Daphnia pulex: one gene and its partner. The protein of the gene in region 2 purifies or fractionates together with the protein of the main gene of each other region. This does not show direct contact. Links are inferred from orthologs where the notes say so. Each region holds a gene or a part of one and is shown on either strand. Other genes may lie near its edges. The genes, in order: splicing factor 3B subunit 1-like and THO complex subunit 1-like.

Evidence for each region.
Region 1: the proteins of THO complex subunit 1-like (region 2) and splicing factor 3B subunit 1-like purify together in Homo sapiens (co-immunoprecipitation; 4 studies listed by BioGRID and IntAct, with this or other methods). This does not show direct contact. The link is inferred for Daphnia pulex from reciprocal best matches to the Homo sapiens genes THOC1 and SF3B1.

Annotation. Positions count from the first base shown.
Region 1 is NC_060027.1:4,648,367-4,657,080, reverse strand, and holds splicing factor 3B subunit 1-like, read left to right. Parts: upstream 1-2,762; 5' UTR 2,763-2,797; coding exon 2,798-2,888; intron 2,889-3,097; coding exon 3,098-3,472; intron 3,473-4,017; coding exon 4,018-4,097; intron 4,098-4,164; coding exon 4,165-4,836; intron 4,837-4,900; coding exon 4,901-5,194; intron 5,195-5,257; coding exon 5,258-5,386; intron 5,387-5,450; coding exon 5,451-5,831; intron 5,832-5,890; coding exon 5,891-6,187; intron 6,188-6,251; coding exon 6,252-6,581; intron 6,582-6,650; coding exon 6,651-6,914; intron 6,915-6,976; coding exon 6,977-7,213; intron 7,214-7,274; coding exon 7,275-7,464; intron 7,465-7,531; coding exon 7,532-7,805; intron 7,806-7,869; coding exon 7,870-8,086; intron 8,087-8,147; coding exon 8,148-8,306; 3' UTR 8,307-8,380; downstream 8,381-8,714. Other genes in the region: GPI inositol-deacylase-like, read right to left, coding at 1-267, 335-485, 575-840, 906-1,030, 1,090-1,138, 1,218-1,487, 1,548-1,771, 1,836-1,989 and 1 more; coenzyme Q-binding protein COQ10 homolog B, mitochondrial-like, read right to left, coding at 8,460-8,714. UniProt on the Homo sapiens protein: Component of the 17S U2 SnRNP complex of the spliceosome, a large ribonucleoprotein complex that removes introns from transcribed pre-mRNAs.
Region 2 is NC_060026.1:6,259,935-6,268,902, forward strand, and holds THO complex subunit 1-like, read right to left. Parts: upstream 5,833-8,968; 5' UTR 5,717-5,832; coding exon 5,675-5,716; intron 5,595-5,674; coding exon 5,512-5,594; intron 5,451-5,511; coding exon 5,158-5,450; intron 4,956-5,157; coding exon 4,733-4,955; intron 4,674-4,732; coding exon 4,568-4,673; intron 4,502-4,567; coding exon 4,233-4,501; intron 4,170-4,232; coding exon 4,040-4,169; intron 3,977-4,039; coding exon 3,768-3,976; intron 3,713-3,767; coding exon 3,569-3,712; intron 3,495-3,568; coding exon 3,347-3,494; intron 2,801-3,346; coding exon 2,522-2,800; intron 1,878-2,521; coding exon 1,722-1,877; 3' UTR 1,645-1,721; downstream 1-1,644. Other genes in the region: calcium-activated chloride channel regulator 1-like, read left to right, coding at 7,417-7,587, 7,668-7,802, 7,878-8,040, 8,113-8,405, 8,466-8,714, 8,785-8,873, 8,960-8,968. UniProt on the Homo sapiens protein: Component of the THO subcomplex of the TREX complex which is thought to couple mRNA transcription, processing and nuclear export, and which specifically associates with spliced mRNA and not with unspliced pre-mRNA.

The DNA of each region.
Region 1 (8,714 bases), on a different chromosome or scaffold from region 2:
ATTTGACAGAAAGTATTGGCTTTCATGAGACCATGGCACAATTTTTCGTACAATTGCATTTTTTTCCATAGGACAATCGTTTCCGTTGATCTTAAGGAAAATTGACTGCCATGATCTATTGAGGTCTGGTAAAGTTACGTTGAATGAAACGGCGTTACTCGGAACCACTATCTTTCCAGCTGAAGCAAATGGGATGTATCTTGCGAAAGGGAAGCGGATTTCAACGTTTCTATCAATAGAGCGGTGCACATCAAACAAAATAGATCCCTATGGTAAAAGGCACACATGAAAAGTTATTAAATATTAAATTGTAGAAAAGAACTTAACGAAGTACCTTTTGATAACTTTTGGGGATTAAAAATACAATATGAGTGAAACCATTCTCTTTGAGTTTGACCAAGTCCAGGTAGACAAACTTCCGCTTAACAAAATCACCGGCATTCGGTAACAGAACAGTTTGATGTGATAAATCGATACCGCGCTCACTACATATTAGAGTGTTAAAAAACAACAATACATGAAGAAAAACTAAAATTTAAGATTAAATTCATCATAAAAAATGTGTGATAATTACCAGAATCTAGTATTTTTGTGCCAAGTCAAAGCAACACAGCCGAAAACCCAATATTTAATGGGTAGTCCAGATGCTACAGCCGCCAAACGATCTCGATAAGCGTTGTCGACTAACGGAATCATATAATAGCTATTGCTATATTTTTCCTTTTCTTGTTCAATGCTGGCAGTGAAATGTGGCACAACAACTTCTCTCCATCGTCCTTCTGGATCAAAATCGACTTCTCTTACATTCAGGAAATTTTTAAAGCTTTTCCCTTCATTGCGCTTTTGTAAATTGGAAAAAAAAAATGTTGGAAAATATGAAATTTAAATTTGGATTAATTAATAACCTTCATGAGGTGATAGAGGAGAATTTCTTTTCGTAGATCAACCCGTTCAATCCAGTTCTGCGTTGAAGGTTCAACCATATCGAATAGAGATCGAACTACTGTCGAAACTACCTGTTTACACCACACTAAACACTACATTACTACTTACACAAATAAGCGTAATTAGCATTTCTTAGTACCGTACCTATACACAGATGATCAACAGCAAGCCAAACTGTCGGCATTTCGGTAGTCTGGCAAATAAAAATCGAATTTATACATTTTGACTGAATCTATTTTAACAAATTTATATTTTAATTGTTGCTAATTTACCAGAACGTTGATTGTTGGTGAATTAGCAGCAGTAAGCCCAGACCGAACTTGAATATCTCTGTCCGCTCCACCGATTGATGCTAAAGCGACGTGTTTTGTTCGATTTGTCGATTCGTTCCAAAATGTACTGGTTTCTTGATAAAAACTGTCCATGTCCTCATCTAGCACTATAACAGGACTTTTGTGTGGGGTGGCTAGAGTGATAATGGTGGTCACTAGAGCAGAATCAAAATCCATTTCACTAAAAACTGCTTTAGCAACCATTCCCCCCTGAAATATATAAAGAATAATTATACAAAATGTTGGATATTAAATTTGTCAGTACCCAACCATAGAGTGGCCAATTAAAAGCAGTGACTTTTGTTGGTGATGAGTAGATTTGTAGAGATGAAGAATTCTGTTAATACAACTACTAGTAAACATAGTTTGTTGCTTCAGTATACCCCCATACAGAGCTGAAAACTCTTCATGGAAATCAATTGTAAAAAAGTCAAAGTGAAAATGTTTCTTTGAATCCAGAGATTTGCGATAAGCAAAAGAAGCAAGAGACCGAACTGTAATTGCCACACATTAAATTAATTTTTGCTATAACAAGTTCATGACATAGTGAAACTATACCTTGTTTATAAGACCCTGCATTTCCTGGTATAAAAAGAACTGGAATTCCAGTAAATTCACCCTTTTTATATCTTTCAGCTTGCTCTCCTTCTCCGTAAACAAATAAGTTGTAATTAGGGAATTCAGTTGATGTTGGTTCATTTAATTTGATTTTCTATAATAACAGAATTTTTAAAAATGGCAATCTTTAATAAGGACAGAAGTAATACTCTTACAATATATTGCGGATATTCAAACATGAAGGTCATTTCGCATTTGTTGTCTTCCAATTCGAAAACAAAACGATGAATCCCTCGAATGAAGGAGAACGTGAGAAGGGAGCCAACTAACAGTTTGAGCAAATTGTTTTTCTTCATTTTCACGTAAAATTTATGTGTCTCCCTTCACGACAATACACTTTTCACCAGTAAATAGTTTAAGCAATATTATACCAAGATAAATATATTTTTTGTAAACTATGAAATTAGCTTAAAACTATGACAACAAAAAGGAAAATATTGTCATTTGACATTTCAAAATACTTACTAAGAATGTCGTCTGCACATCCGAATTGCATTGTTGCCAATATGCTGTAGAAATCATTGAAAAATATTTGACTCGTCGATATTCGATAACAACCATGAGTAATAAGGATTAGGAAATCATAATATAGTATGGAAAAAGGCATTTCATGACTCTTACTCGATAGAAATTGCCTTCAACTATTATTTTTCAAGCGTTTAAAGACTCAACTCAAGAGTCAAGAGTCAAGAGAGGCTGACCGGAGCCGCACGTCCGCACCGGCCATTTTATAAATACAGATTTATTATTCTATAAAAAATATTTAATACAGAAACGGAAAAAAACTTTCGTCTACAAATAGAAACTATAGACACACACAATTTGGTGGAATTCGACGATGAAATGTATAATTTGCATTTCTACGCATTTGAGATTTGATTTGACAGCAGCAACAAATCTTCATGCATGATCTGGCAACAAAGTGCGTTGTAAAGAAGAGTGGAGAAGCTCTAAAAATGGACGCGAATAATAAGGCACCGAATACGTACGACGGTAATATTGTTTTTCTATTTACATCATATTGGCAATTATTTCAAAGATAAGATAATTTACAGCTTTTTTTGCTACCCAAATTTTTATCATTGGATTATTTGGTTAACTTATTTACCTCTAGTTGCACATGTGTATAAGTGTCTCATAACAACTCTGAACATGCCATAATATTAACTGTGTTTAACATGTGGTTTGATATGTCTTTCCAGAAATTGCAGCTCAAGTTCAGGAAATCCAGTCAAGGAGCAAGGTAGATATATCTGAAAAAGATCGCATCGGATTTGGCGAATCAGGCATTTTTGATTCAGAAATCTACGGTGAAGTTCAAAGTCGATTTGATGGATATGTAACTTCAATTGCCACAACTGATGAAGTTGAAGAAGAAGATTATGATGGAGCAGTTGCCACTGGAGGCAGGCAAACTTTCACAGCACCAGCTGCGATTCTCAATGAAGTGGCAGGAGAAGACTTTGACCCATTTGCTGAACATCGCAGACCAACTATTGCTGACAGAGAAGATGAATACAGAGCAAAGCGTCGGAAGTTGATTATTTCCCCAGAACGTGTTGATCCATTTGCTGAAGGTAAATTTAATATTTTTTATTCATTTTAGTATACTTGCTTGTTGTAATGCAAAGTGGAACACATTATTCAATTTAATCTTATTTTAGAATTAAGAACATCTGTGATTGTGAAGTAAACTCTTTTTGTTTATCTATATTCTCATGTCGTGACCCAATGGCAAATTAAAAGAGTGCCATAGCAACCAGTTAAGTTAAGAGCTCTTGGAGGTGAGTAATCTAAGGCTCTCAAAGGGGAATTGTTACAAGAAACTATTAAGGATACTAGAAGCCAATATTAACCTAGAACAAGCTACTTAATTATAGGTGGATTATTCACTTGTGGGCCAGGAGCTGATCTGCTCAAATTCCCCTTCCGTAATCATCACCACGTATGTATTTGTAACTTCTTGTGGGCGAAGAAACTGGTTTAAGAGTTTTTTCTACTTCCGTCGCTCACAGGGAGTTTGGGTCTCGACTGCCAATTTTTTCTTTAAATTTCGATTACAAAATCTTCCTTACTTTGAATAATAACCCATTTTCCTTTTTTATATTGCTATTCTGTGCAGGCGGTAAAACCCCAGACGTTGGATCTCGCACTTACGCTCATATTATTCGTGAACAACAGTTGCGCGCAGAAGAGCAAGAGGTAATGACAATGGATAATTTATGGTGTAGTTGAGATTATACATGTAATCATTTGTATTCATTTCTAGGTCCGCCGGAAGCTTGCCGACAAAGCTAAGGATGGTACCTTAAAAGCTGTAACGGTACCATCAAACGGCGAATCAAATGAAGCGCCACGGAAACGTGCAGCCCGTTGGGATCAAACAGGTGAAGGTGACACAGGTCCTGCTGCCACTCCAGTTGCAGCACCAACTGTTCCTACGGTAAAGAAGAAAACCTGGGAAGTGGAAACGCCAGCAGTAGCTCGTTGGGATGAAACTCCTTCTCGCTCCAAAGGCTCTGAAACCCCGGCAGCTGGAGGTGTTACCCCTGGAAGTCGTCTGTGGGATGCTACGCCGGGAAATGACGACTCCCGCAAACGGAATCGCTGGGACGAAACACCGAAAACTGAAAGAGCCGGCGAATTTACTCCTGGTTTTGGTTCTGGTTGGGCTGAGACACCACGGACAGATCGTGGAGGAGACACAATCCAGGAGACACCAACTCCTTCGGCATCGAAACGTCGCAGCCGTTGGGATGAAACACCAGCTAATTCCAGTGCGACACCGTCTGGTGGAATGACTCCGCAAACTCCTTCACTATCTGGAGCTATGACTCCAAGAATGACACCGGGTGGAGCTACTCCAATCGGACAAAAAGCTATGGCCATGGCTACCCCAACTCCAGGACACCTTGTTACCATGACTCCTGAACAACTACAAGTAATCAGTGCATTATCCGTTTTGATGTTCAATATGTAACCCACAATGAAATTTATCGAAATAGGCATACCGATGGGAAAGAGAAATCGACGAAAGAAACCGCCCAATTGGAGATGATGAACTAGACGGGATGTTTCCAGAAGGCTACAAGGTCCTGCCTCCTCCAGCTGGATACATTCCTCTACGTACCCCGGCGCGCAAATTAACTGCAACTCCCACTCCATTAGCTGGGGCCAATTCGGGATTCTACATGCAACAAGAAGATAAAACTGCCTCAAAATACATGGACACACAACCCAAAGGCGGTAACTTGCCCTTTTTGAAGCCAGAAGATGCCCAATATTTTGACAAGCTATTGGTAATTATACTTAACTATTTCTTTTAAGTAAAATTAAAAAGTTTTTACTCTATTATTTTGCAGATTGATGTTGATGAAGATTCATTGAGCCCAGAAGAGCTTAAAGAACGAAAAATCATGACTCTTTTACTTAAAATCAAGAACGGTACCCCACCTATGCGTAAATCTGCATTAAGACAAATCACTGATAAGGTAAACTGATATATATTATTTTAAAGTAATTGTATCTTCAAACTGCGTTTATGTTTTTCAATAGGCTAGAGAATTCGGAGCTGGTCCACTTTTCAATCAGATCCTTCCTTTATTGATGTCTCCTACCCTTGAAGACCAAGAGCGACATTTGCTCGTTAAAGTTATCGATCGCATTCTCTACAAATTGGATGATCTAGTGCGTCCATACGTCCACAAAATCCTTGTCGTTATTGAACCGCTGCTAATCGACGAAGACTATTATGCTCGTGTTGAAGGTCGAGAAATCATCTCTAATTTAGCCAAAGCAGCTGGTTTAGCAACTATGATTTCTACCATGAGACCTGATATCGATAACATTGATGAATATGTTCGTAACACTACTGCAAGAGCTTTTGCTGTGGTAGCTTCTGCACTGGGAATTCCTTCCCTTCTTCCCTTTCTAAAGGTATATAGTTTGTTTCAGTTTTAAGATGGGCTTGTTCTTATCTATTATTTTTATTTTAGGCCGTTTGCAAGAGTAAAAAGTCATGGCAAGCTCGCCATACTGGCATCAAAATCGTCCAACAAATTGCTATTCTTATGGGATGTGCTATTTTACCTCACTTGCGAAATCTGGTTGAGATCATTGAACATGGATTGGTAGATGAGCAACAGAAAGTGCGCACCATCACTGCCTTGTCCATTGCTGCGCTGGCAGAAGCCGCGACTCCGTACGGTATTGAGAGCTTTGACTCTGTTTTAAAACCGTTGTGGAAGGGTATAAGAACTCATCGTGGTAAGGGATTGGCTGCTTTCCTTAAGGTATGTTAATTGAAAGTAAAATATTATCCTGCATACTGTAATATTATTTGTTTAAAAAAAATAGGCTATTGGCTATTTGATTCCTCTCATGGATGCCGAATACGCCAATTATTACACTCGCGAAGTGATGTTAATTTTAATTCGCGAGTTTCAGTCACCTGACGAAGAAATGAAAAAGATTGTACTTAAAGTGGTGAAACAGTGTTGCGCAACTGACGGTGTGGAACCTCAGTATATTAAAACAGAAATTTTGCCACATTTCTTCAAAAGTTTCTGGAATCATAGAATGGCATTAGATAGACGTAACTATCGCCAGCTAGTTGACACAACAGTTGAAATCGCTAATCGTGTTGGTGCAGCGGAAATTATTGGCCGAGTGGTTGACGATTTAAAGGTTTTATTCATTTTCATTATTTATAATTCAGTGACAGTCAAATAACATGTTGAATATTTTTCCTAACAGGACGAAAATGAACAATACCGGAAAATGGTTATGGAAACGGTCGAAAAGATCATGGGTAATCTTGGTGCCGCTGATATCGACGCTCGCTTGGAAGAGCAGCTCATCGACGGTATTCTCTACGCATTTCAGGAACAAACGACTGAAGATGTTGTGATGCTAAATGGATTCGGTACAATCGTGAACTCACTTTCCAAACGAGTTAAACCTTATTTGCCACAAATTTGTGGTACTATTTTATGGCGTTTGAACAACAAATCAGCAAAAGTAATGTTATACAACTTTTATTTGTAAACGTTCGTTTTAATATAATGATTTTTATTCCATAGGTTCGGCAACAAGCTGCTGATTTGATTAGCCGTATTGCAGCAGTAATGAAAACTTGTCAGGAAGAAAAGCTCATGGGGCATCTGGGAGTTGTTCTCTATGAATATCTTGGCGAAGAGTACCCTGAAGTTCTTGGGTCTATTTTAGCTGCTCTTAAAGCTATTGTTAACGTAATTGGCATGCACAAGATGACACCGCCAATCAAAGATTTACTTCCCCGATTAACACCTATTTTGAAGGTTCGCTTTTTTAACATATCAGTAATTTATTTTTCTTATTGTGGTTTTATTATCATTTTAGAATCGGCATGAAAAAGTACAGGAAAATTGCATCGATTTGGTTGGGCGTATTGCCGATCGTGGGCCAGAGTACGTTTCAGCTCGAGAGTGGATGCGCATTTGTTTTGAGCTTTTAGAACTCTTGAAAGCACACAAGAAAGCCATTCGACGAGCTACAGTCAACACTTTTGGTTATATCGCCAAAGCAATTGGTGAGACCGAAATTGTCATGGTTATTATGTACAATATAATTATTTATTTTTCAACAACAAATTTCAGGCCCACACGATGTATTGGCTACACTGCTTAATAATTTGAAGGTACAGGAGCGCCAAAATCGTGTTTGTACAACCGTTGCCATTGCAATTGTGGCTGAAACTTGTTCGCCCTTCACCGTCCTCCCTGGTCTTATGAACGAATATAGAGTCCCGGAACTTAATGTTCAAAATGGTGTTTTGAAGTCGATGTCATTCTTGTTCGAGTACATTGGCGAGATGGGGAAGGATTACATTTATTCAGTTACATCGCTCTTAGAAGACGCTTTGATGGATCGGTAAGTTTCTAGTTATTTTGAATTTATGATTAATTAGTTAATGAAGCACATCTGTTTATTTTAGTGACCTGGTCCATCGTCAAACTGCTTGTGCAGCCATCAAGCACATGGCTTTGGGTGTTTTCGGCTTTGGTTGTGAAGATGCCCTCACACACCTGTTGAACTACGTTTGGCCCAATATTTTTGAAACATCCCCTCATTTGGTTCAAGCTTTTATGGATGCTGTGGAGGGTATGAGAGTAGCCCTGGGCCCTATTAAAGTCTTACAATACGCACTGCAGGTAACTTAATTATTTGATTGAATTAGAATTTCAGTTTTAAACCATTTTCTTTTCTATATAGGGTCTGTTTCATCCGGCCCGGAAAGTTCGTGACGTGTATTGGAAGATTTACAACTCACTATACATCGGCGGTCAAGATTCACTGGTGTGTGGGTACCCTCGAGTGTCCAACGAAGGGAAAAACACTTTTAATCGTTATGAACTCGATTATGTATTGTAATTCACTTTCTGTACTACATTTTTACACAAGTTTCATGTACTGATTTCATTAAAAATAAACTCACTTGAGCCGTCGCAATTCGTGTAATGTCATCAAATTTAGATACAATATTATTTAACATTTCAATTTAGCTAGTGATTATTGATTAAGTCATTAGGCGTGTGTAGATAACATCTGTGGCCTTTGACCATTAATTGACGCTGGTCCGTAACGTCTCCTAGCCTCTGTCAAAAATGCAGTAACCATTTGCCTAACAACCTGATCAAAAAAAACATGTGACAGTTGAGAGTGAAGTACAGACCGAAATTCAAAGGAAATGGAAAAATCCAATGTGCAACTTTTAGGATTTCCCTTTAGTCCAGGACTGAATTTCCAAATAGTAAGAAGATGGTTGAATAGCTTCCCTTC
Region 2 (8,968 bases):
TTTAGAGACAGGCGTACAAGATAGCGTTGAGCTTTATCGATCGTCTCTATGGTCGAAAGAACATCGTTTAACGAGATCGTTAAATTGAAACTCCCCCCTATACGATATAATCAAATGAATCATCAAGTTGGAATGGCTGATATTTGCAAAAAATGCAAAACCAATAACTTTTACCTAAAAGGAGTTTTACGACTATTATGTTATCAAAAAGTATATAATTGAACTAACTAAATGGCCCGACGTAAAATGATGGACACAAAGATAACATGTTGGAATAAGAAGCGTTGAATAATATTACCTTGGGAAGCCTTGTTGGATAATTCTTCAGAAAAATTTTACGTCGCAACAGGTTAACACATTAACACTTAGCCACAAACCGTGCAGTCGGAGGTCTGATGAAAAGCAATACCGCCAATGCCAAGCTTCAGCCCTCGTCTGCTCCGCTCGAGAGTGGCGCCGATCCTTCGTATACCACACGCTGATGACTAGAGCTCCGGCAACGGCCTATTCGCCGTTATTTCCAAACCCGTGAATCGATGCAACTTCTCCCTTACTCTACCTCTTTCGAACTAGGATCTCTTGGCGACGACGCGATCTCTATTCATGCACTTTTTTTAATGTAGAGAATGGTTATACTCCATGAGCTGGCACTACTCAACACGAATTCTTTTCTTCCACGAAAATAATGATAAAGAACGTCAAAAAACCAAGCTTGTCGCCAGATCTGCTCTGTTCCGACTAAAATCAATAATCGCCAGAAAATTAGTTTAGCTCCTTTCTGTTTTATGTTCCACGTGTTATTTTGTCTTCATTCGAATTCGAATTCACAATTCAATCATGTCATTTATCTTTAATCTTGGATTTCGCTAACGAACCAAAACTCCAAAACTGATTTCGAAAAAGGGCGCAGCGGGGCACAGCTATTTCGTTAACCGAGATGTAGAATGAATCGAAGGGTGTCGACTTCGCATGTCTCCTTTGTATTAAAACGTTGCTTTTCTAGTTAGAAAACTACGTTTCAAGCAAGCAAGGTTGTTTTACGTCATAGTCTATCAGCATGCTTATCAAGTACACACGCGCAGACCAAAAGATGTCGTCCTTCTCGCGATTTTATATGCCCTGCGTCTCGACCCAATGAGTATTGATCGCTTTTACCGTGGTTGTCACTTGCTGCTTGAACTGCTTCAACGGCCCCCCCCCCCCCCCCTCCATGAAGCTTTGTGCTGGCTTTCTGACTAATACAATGTCACACCATGAATATTTCTTTTTTCTTACTTGGGGTTTTCTGGTCTTTCTCGGATGGCAGCCTAAACAAAAGACCCACAATATAACTAATCTATTTAAAAAAAAAACTCTGAAAACTCCAGTTTGCTTAGCCCAACACTTTACATCATATACAAATGTTAAATTCGAAATTACACTAGCTTAGTTATGCTTTAGTGTATCTTAAGTTATAAAGAACTAAAAATTTTCTTAAACACAATATTTTAGGTTTTAATAATATATTCAAGGTAATAAAAATGCTTCTGTAAAGGGGGAGGGAGGCATGAAAGAGCTTATGAATACTCTCCCCGCTGACACGGTATGTGTGAACTGAACAATATAATTCCGTGCTACTCAAGGAACGAGAAGCGTACAGGTGAATTTTCTTGTAAAAATTTTGTGTATTTCTTTTTTTTTTTTTTTTGTGAACAAGATGAGGCATATGAAAGCAATAAAAATCATAATATTCCCTGAGCGCTGTCTAACATGCCGAGGCCTTCTAATGTGTAGAGCAGGTTCTCTGGAGTAGCATCTGCTTCATTTTCTAACCATATCTGAAACATTTTCTTAGCCTGAATTTCGACTTCGTTTGTTTCACTTTCAAAATACTCCACCTGTAAAATATTTTGGAAAACATCAGCAATTTTGGCATTGATTCTTTTGGCATGTCATAATAATATATTGCTAATGGGTATTTTCGAAATAAAAAAAGAAAAAGAAAATCGGAAGAATATTTTTTAAAGATAAAAGTATGTCAGCGACCGTTAGCCATCTACGTTCTTTTTAAATATTCAGGTTTGGCACCTAGGCTGCATGAGTGGAGCCAGTGAGCAGCATATCGATTTCCTATCAAACTAGACGCTATCTACACATCTATAGGTATTTTTCCACTGTTGGCAATACAACTTTTAACTCTCCTGGAATCTTAACTTTAAACATAAAAAAAAAAATAATAATAATAATAATTTAAAAAATATATATATTTGAATTCAGGTTGTGTACGTCTCGGGATTAGATTTTGAACCTAAAGCTGATTGGTGCACATCCAGCTCAGGTGGATGCAATTTTAACTTTATCTCATGCATCCACTGTATATAAAACTATTATCATAGCCAAGAAAACTAGGAAACTAATAATATGACGGAATTTACTCGTTTTCTATGTTTGAAAAAATAATGCAGCGTCATTAAGACTATTAAACTAAAGGGCTTAAATTCAAAATTCGAAAAAAACAGAACGTCTTAAATTTTGTAGTTACCTCATCTGGTCCAAAACCAAGTTTTGGTGCGAGAAGTTTCCAATTAGTCCCGATTTGTTTTGCTAAGCGAGTGAGTTGATCCATTGTGCAGCAAAGTACAGGTTTCTTTTCAGTGCTTTCTTCTTCTTCCATCTCATCCGGTTTTACATTAGTTTCTTCTGGGACTCCTTCAATTTCCGAGTTATTGGACACTGGGTCTGCTTCCGGTTCCATTTGTTCTACCTCACCAGCGTCGTCCACTGGCTCCGGTTTTACATTAGGCAATGCATTTGCTGACTGCTAAATGAGAAGATTGTTATTAATGTACGCAACAATGTTTTGACCGCATTATTTTAAAGTTTGATCAATTTTCAAATTTTGCACGGTTAGAAAATTAGGACAATATTTATCAAATCGCTAGTTGCAAGCTAAGCTTGCCTATTCAAACCCTTTCGATAAATGCTTTTCGTAAACGTAGCATACAATATCATTCTCCCACAATACTTATAAATGTTAGCCTATAATTTTTATTATCATATTATTTGAATAAGCCAACTACAAAACCAGTAATATATCAAGATTATCCAGGGATTTCCAGACAAATGAATGTGAAAAATTACCTGACACCTAACAAACTCGTCTGTATTTCTTCTGGATCAACTATTTCAAAATCTTTGTTTAACAGCAAAACCCGTGCAAAAGTTATGAGTCTCGATAACAAAATTCAAAATACCTCAAAATATTAAAAAAAAATATATATATATATTCCCAAATGAGAACCTAAATCCCTGACTTTTCCCTGTATTGCAGAATGGGAACCGTGATATTCATCTGATTTTACTCTACCTGCATGTCCTTGGCCAGTTTGCGAACGTGCGTTTCCAAGTAATCTGGCAGCCGAGTGATAGGAGTATTACCATGAGTGAAGAAATGTAAACTTCGTCTAGCCAAAAGCCGCAAAGCACGCCACCCAAAATTAGCCTCACTAACTCGCCTGGAAACACGAAAATCGCTCATTCAGTTAAAACATTTTCGGAAAAATGTAAGCTTTAAAGTGCAAATTTTTACTTGTACTGGCTTTCCACTGAAGGATCCAGTTGCTCAATGGCTTCCTCAAAATAGTTTTCTAATGTAGGTAGAAAATCTCGATCTTTAGATCGACAGGCAGCCATGTTATCAGGACATAGATTCCACAAACGATTCATCTCAGCGCTAAAGAGAAAAAGCTGTAATTCAATGTTTTCAAATAATTTCATAATTTACCTACTTTCCAATAATGCACTTATTTCTTTTTGAAGCTTCTCGAATCTGATCTCCAAGACTTCTTTTGAGCCGTCTTGGTCGGCCAACTACGATCGTCTTTTTTTCTCCATTGGTACCATCTTTTATAGTATCATTATCAGTGGTTGAGCTGGTTATGCTGGGCCGGAATTCCGGGCAGCCATCGTTCTTCCAGTTGCTCCATAATTCTTCCCGCTACATCCAACAAACACCGATGGATGATATTTTTTAAAACTACTTTTATACAACTCAGTATACCTTTAGTATGTGTCGAATAGATTGGACGAAAGAAGCGCCATCTGGAGGTGTATCTTTCAATAACCGATAGACTTGATCGATAGCCTCGGAAACCCACGTAGTTTGTTCTTCGTTGAGCTTGTGAGTTTCGCTATAAATAGAAGCAATTCAAGCGGTTGAAATAGTCTAACTAATGAAACTTATTGAAACTAACTGTTTAAACTTGACAGGTGAATCCAGATATTGGAACATAATCAGAAACTGCAGCAGAATGTAACGTCTGAAGTTGGAGTCACCGAGCTGAAGTTCGAGAAGATTTTGACTCGTCAAATATTTGGCGAAATATTGTTGGACATTTCCACCATTCATGCTGGTTTCATTCATATCGATGTTTAATGCCACATCTGCCTCATCCCATTTAGAGCGGTTTCTCCGCTCATCCAGTTTGATAGTAGAAAATGCAGACAAAACATCACTAGTATGCTAAAGAATAATTGTTTTTCTGTTAGATGGAAAATTTTAACTTGAAATACTTGATGTTTTAGCTACCAAACAAAACGTTTTCCACGGGATTTTCGTATAGCACTGATTAGGGTTTCGAAAGAAATCTTGTAGGGACCAAAATTTTTTGTACAGATTGTAGTCGGAGCTCAAACTACAAAACAAGAAAATTTAGAAAAATATTGCAATAACTTGTCAATCAAATATATATACCTTTCTTCTACTTCCATTGCATCCTTGTGCTTTTCAGAATTAGCAGATATATCAGCAGCGTAGCTTTCATCTTTAGCTCCAAATGTCGTCAAATTATCCAAATTAAATTCGCTTACTACGTTAAGTCCGGATCGTTCAGAGAATGGGAAAAATTTTGCAAGAAATAGAAGAATTCGACCACAGAAAACCGTGTTCTGGCTTCGGGACAAGCGCCTCAGCAGATCTGAAAAAAAATATACATATAAAATTCATTTCAGCAACACAACTCACATAAAGCGAAACACTGTAAATGAATTTAGCAGAGTGGTATACATTGAAATAAGAGTAATGGATTGAATTCATATCAATACAGAATTAGATGCATCCAGTTACATAAATATTTGTGTCATACATTATTAGAATTTTGGAAAAATGTCTTTACATACCATTGCAAAGGCGAAGTAAGGTATTTTTACACTGATTGAAGAAAAGCTCTTGTTTCCAAATCGCTACTTTCATTTCAACCATGTAGAAAATTTCCTCACATTTTTCCAGAGACAGGATGTCAAAAGCATCTGTGAGCAAAATCACAGGCAGTGTTGGAGAACATACTAGAGCTACTGCACAATCCAGACTCAACTGCAACAACTTTTCAAACAATGGTATGGAAAAGTTTGAGGAATCACTCAAAAATCTGTCTCTAAACGCCTGATCCCATACAGCTTTTTTATCAGCTTCCCTACAATAAATATGTTTAATTACAATAATATGTAAATACTTTCTGCTTTGATTAAATTTACCCAAGATGAGCTGTATTGTTAACTGAAAGTAATTCACTGATAGTGGGTGGACCACCCAGTTTAAGAGCTTCAGAAATGGAATCCTACAGAAACCAAACACAGAAGACATAAGATTTTTCAATTTATTTCAAATATGGCTCATTGATAGATTTTTTTACTGTACCAGAAACGAACACCGAGTTTTCTCAAAATCAAATATTTCCATTTCAGTGGTTTTTTTACAAAGTAAGAAACATAAAAATAGTCGTGTTTTCGAAACGATCAGACGACGCTTCAAAACTTGGTTGCGTTGCCAAGTTTGTAAATTGCAATGTTGCCATTCTAAAATCAACTTGATTTTTTTTTCCGAATCCCGGAAAGCGGAAATTCTGGAAAGAAGTAAATGTCAAACCATTCAAGTTTAACTAATAAGTAATCGGTGATAATCAAATAATTTATCTGTTCAAAGAATATGTTTTGACTGAGATTACCGTTTTGACGTTTTCATACAAAAATGTTACTCGATTATCATCCCCTAGATGGCGAGTCGACGGATCAATAAAAATGGTGTTCTACAAAAGAGAGTCCTTTTTTGAAAAATCATCTAACGCGGGACTGCACCGAGTTTAATAAAGATAAAATTCCCATATAAAAACTACCTAATTTTAAGACATTTCTCATGTTTAATGTAATCGACAATAAGTAGCCTTTTTGAACTCAATATTTTCAATAGCATTCCAATGCTACTCATTTCACTACTAAACAATATTTAAGCGCATTCAAATACTCGAATGTTTTCAACTTCCATTCGTATTACTTTTATCATTTGATTTCCTATGAAAATCGGCAGGTATTGCCTGCCATATTACAACTACAGTATCGACTGCACTATCTACCGAGATTTCATAACCTTGTTCTAGTCTCTATATTTGAACTACCTCTGTTTGCTTACGAGCTCTGATTTTATGTCTACTTCCTGAAGTGCACCAGGAAAAGGCATAGAGGATTAGAGATATCGATTCTTTACTGCAGGGAACCGCCGTTTGTGGCACTTTTTAAAATCCTATTTCGCCTTTGATCATCTCAAATAAGAATAAATTAAAAGGAAATTATTAGTAGCATTATAAAACACCAGATAAAAGATATAAAATTTTACTTATTTCAAACCAATTTATCTGTGTCATTTGGACTGCAGGACGTCATCAACGAAAGATGACGCGGCACGTAAGCTGAAGCAAGAAACGCGAATCCTTAGGCCTTATTCTATTGTAATTAAACATGTAGATGGCGATCGCTTTGAGAGCCTTTAATGAGAAGAAGTTGTTTTCTCTGTTCAAATCGTCCCTGTGAACGAATAGAAGAAGGATGATTGCCAAAAACTTTGTCGATTTGTTTTTTATTTGCTGGCTACAATAACTCTTTGTCAAGCCTTTAATGTAATTATCTTGGGTTATTTACTCTCTGCATTGGCTAGTAACAATTGATGGGAGTAAAGGATAACTCGCAAAACATTACTATATCTCAAGCTAAAGTACGCAAACAAAACAGTCACAACGCTGTCTCCAGGGCAAAATGCCAAGATGTACTTGTACTTTGAAGTATCAAAATTGACAAAAAGTTGGTTTTTTCCCCGGTTTGCTATCAAAATTTCTCAACTTCACCAGGATAAAGGAAAAAATAAAAAGATATCGCTAAAAAAAAAAAAAAAAAAAATACCCATGGCCCATGACAAAGGAGCAAAAGGGGCCGAACGGCTTGCAGATAATTTATTTGTCACGTATAAGGCTATCTAACGGTATTATTCAATTGATCGCAAACGGTTGTGCAATCTTTTTTCTGTGATTCACCTTTAGGTTGCGTGTATATAAACTGGTCCGAAAATTTCACTTTTCAGTTCCACTTTATAGTTCCAAAAGCGACGACACCATGGCGGTCTGTCATCATCGTCTTCTCTTGTTGCTGCTCTTTAGCTGCCTGTCTCTTCGCGCCATCGGCAGCCGAGTCAACATAACCAACAACGGCTATCGGGATATTGTCATAGCAATTTCACCTGATGTTCCCTCAGATCAAGCTGATGATTTATTGGATAACATCAAGGTAACATTTTAGAGTTTCTTTCAAAGCTTTTACTATTCCTTGTTCTTGTTACAAAAGAATTTTATTATTTCTTCTTAAAGTTGTTAATCACTGAAGCTTCAGCTGATTTGTATGAAGCAACTCGGAATCGATCCTACATTGAATCAGTGAATATTCTGATCCCTCAGACGTGGGAAAACGTCATAGCCAACGCCAGTACATGGGAAAATTTGCAAGTATACTTGAATAAATTTATCGCATAAAAAGGAGAAATTAATTCGCAAATGGCAAAATTTTATGAACTAAACCAGAATGCGGACATTCAAATCGACCTTCCGAACTGGAAATATGGAGAAAGACCATACACCGTGCAATTGGGCGGATGTGGCGATCCTGGCGAATACATTCACTTGACGCCCAATTACGTCAAGAATTTCGATTCGGAATTCAACTTGTTTCAGTTTGGGCCAGCAGGTAGTGTTTATTTTGATATTGTACGTACCTTAATTATAATTACAACAATGTAAAATTAATTTTAAATGACAGGCAAGGTTATCGTGAGAGAATGGGCTCGACTGCGTTACGGAGTGTTTGAGGAGCACGGCTACACGGGCGACGAGTCAGCCTTCCCAATGTTCTACCGGTCAGCATCTGCCGGGCAACAAACGGCCGATTTGGTGCCTAATGTTTGCTCTGATGAGCCCGTTGACTTTACTTTTGATTACGGCTGTCATGTCGATCCGCAAACGGGCCTCTACGACTCAAATTGCACCTACAGTTTCACAGACCAGTTCAGACCAGGATCGTCCATCATGTCTGATTACAGGATGCTTAAATCGGTATTTTCCATTATTGAAAAGATTGCTTTTGAATTTCATTAACCCCGTCCATGGTTTTAGGCCATGCATTTTTGTGACGATGAGGGATCCAGTCTTCACAAACACAATCGAGAAGCACCCAATCAGCATAACGCAGTTTGCGACACGCAAAGTGTCTGGTCGGTGATTACACGTCACATCGATTTTGTCGAAAACAACAATTTGCCAGCCACCATCGCTGATTTGAAGCCAACATTTAATGTCGTCCGAGTTTTGAACGGAGCTCGTTACGTTCTCGTTACTGACGTGTCGGGCAGCATGGTCGATTATGTAAGCACATTGAATAATGAGTATTTACTATACGATTTCTATTATTTTACTATGCGATTTTTTCTTTTAGAATCGTATTGGAAGGTTGTACGATTCGGCTCGACGTTGGATTCAGTATGACATTCCCGAAGGAACTTCGTTAGGGATCGTCAAGTTCCAGTAAATGAGGCTATAACTAAATATATTTAAAACTTTTTCATTAAATTCATCCTATTCTTTTTGTCCTTTTTGTCTTATATTCATAGTTCGTATGC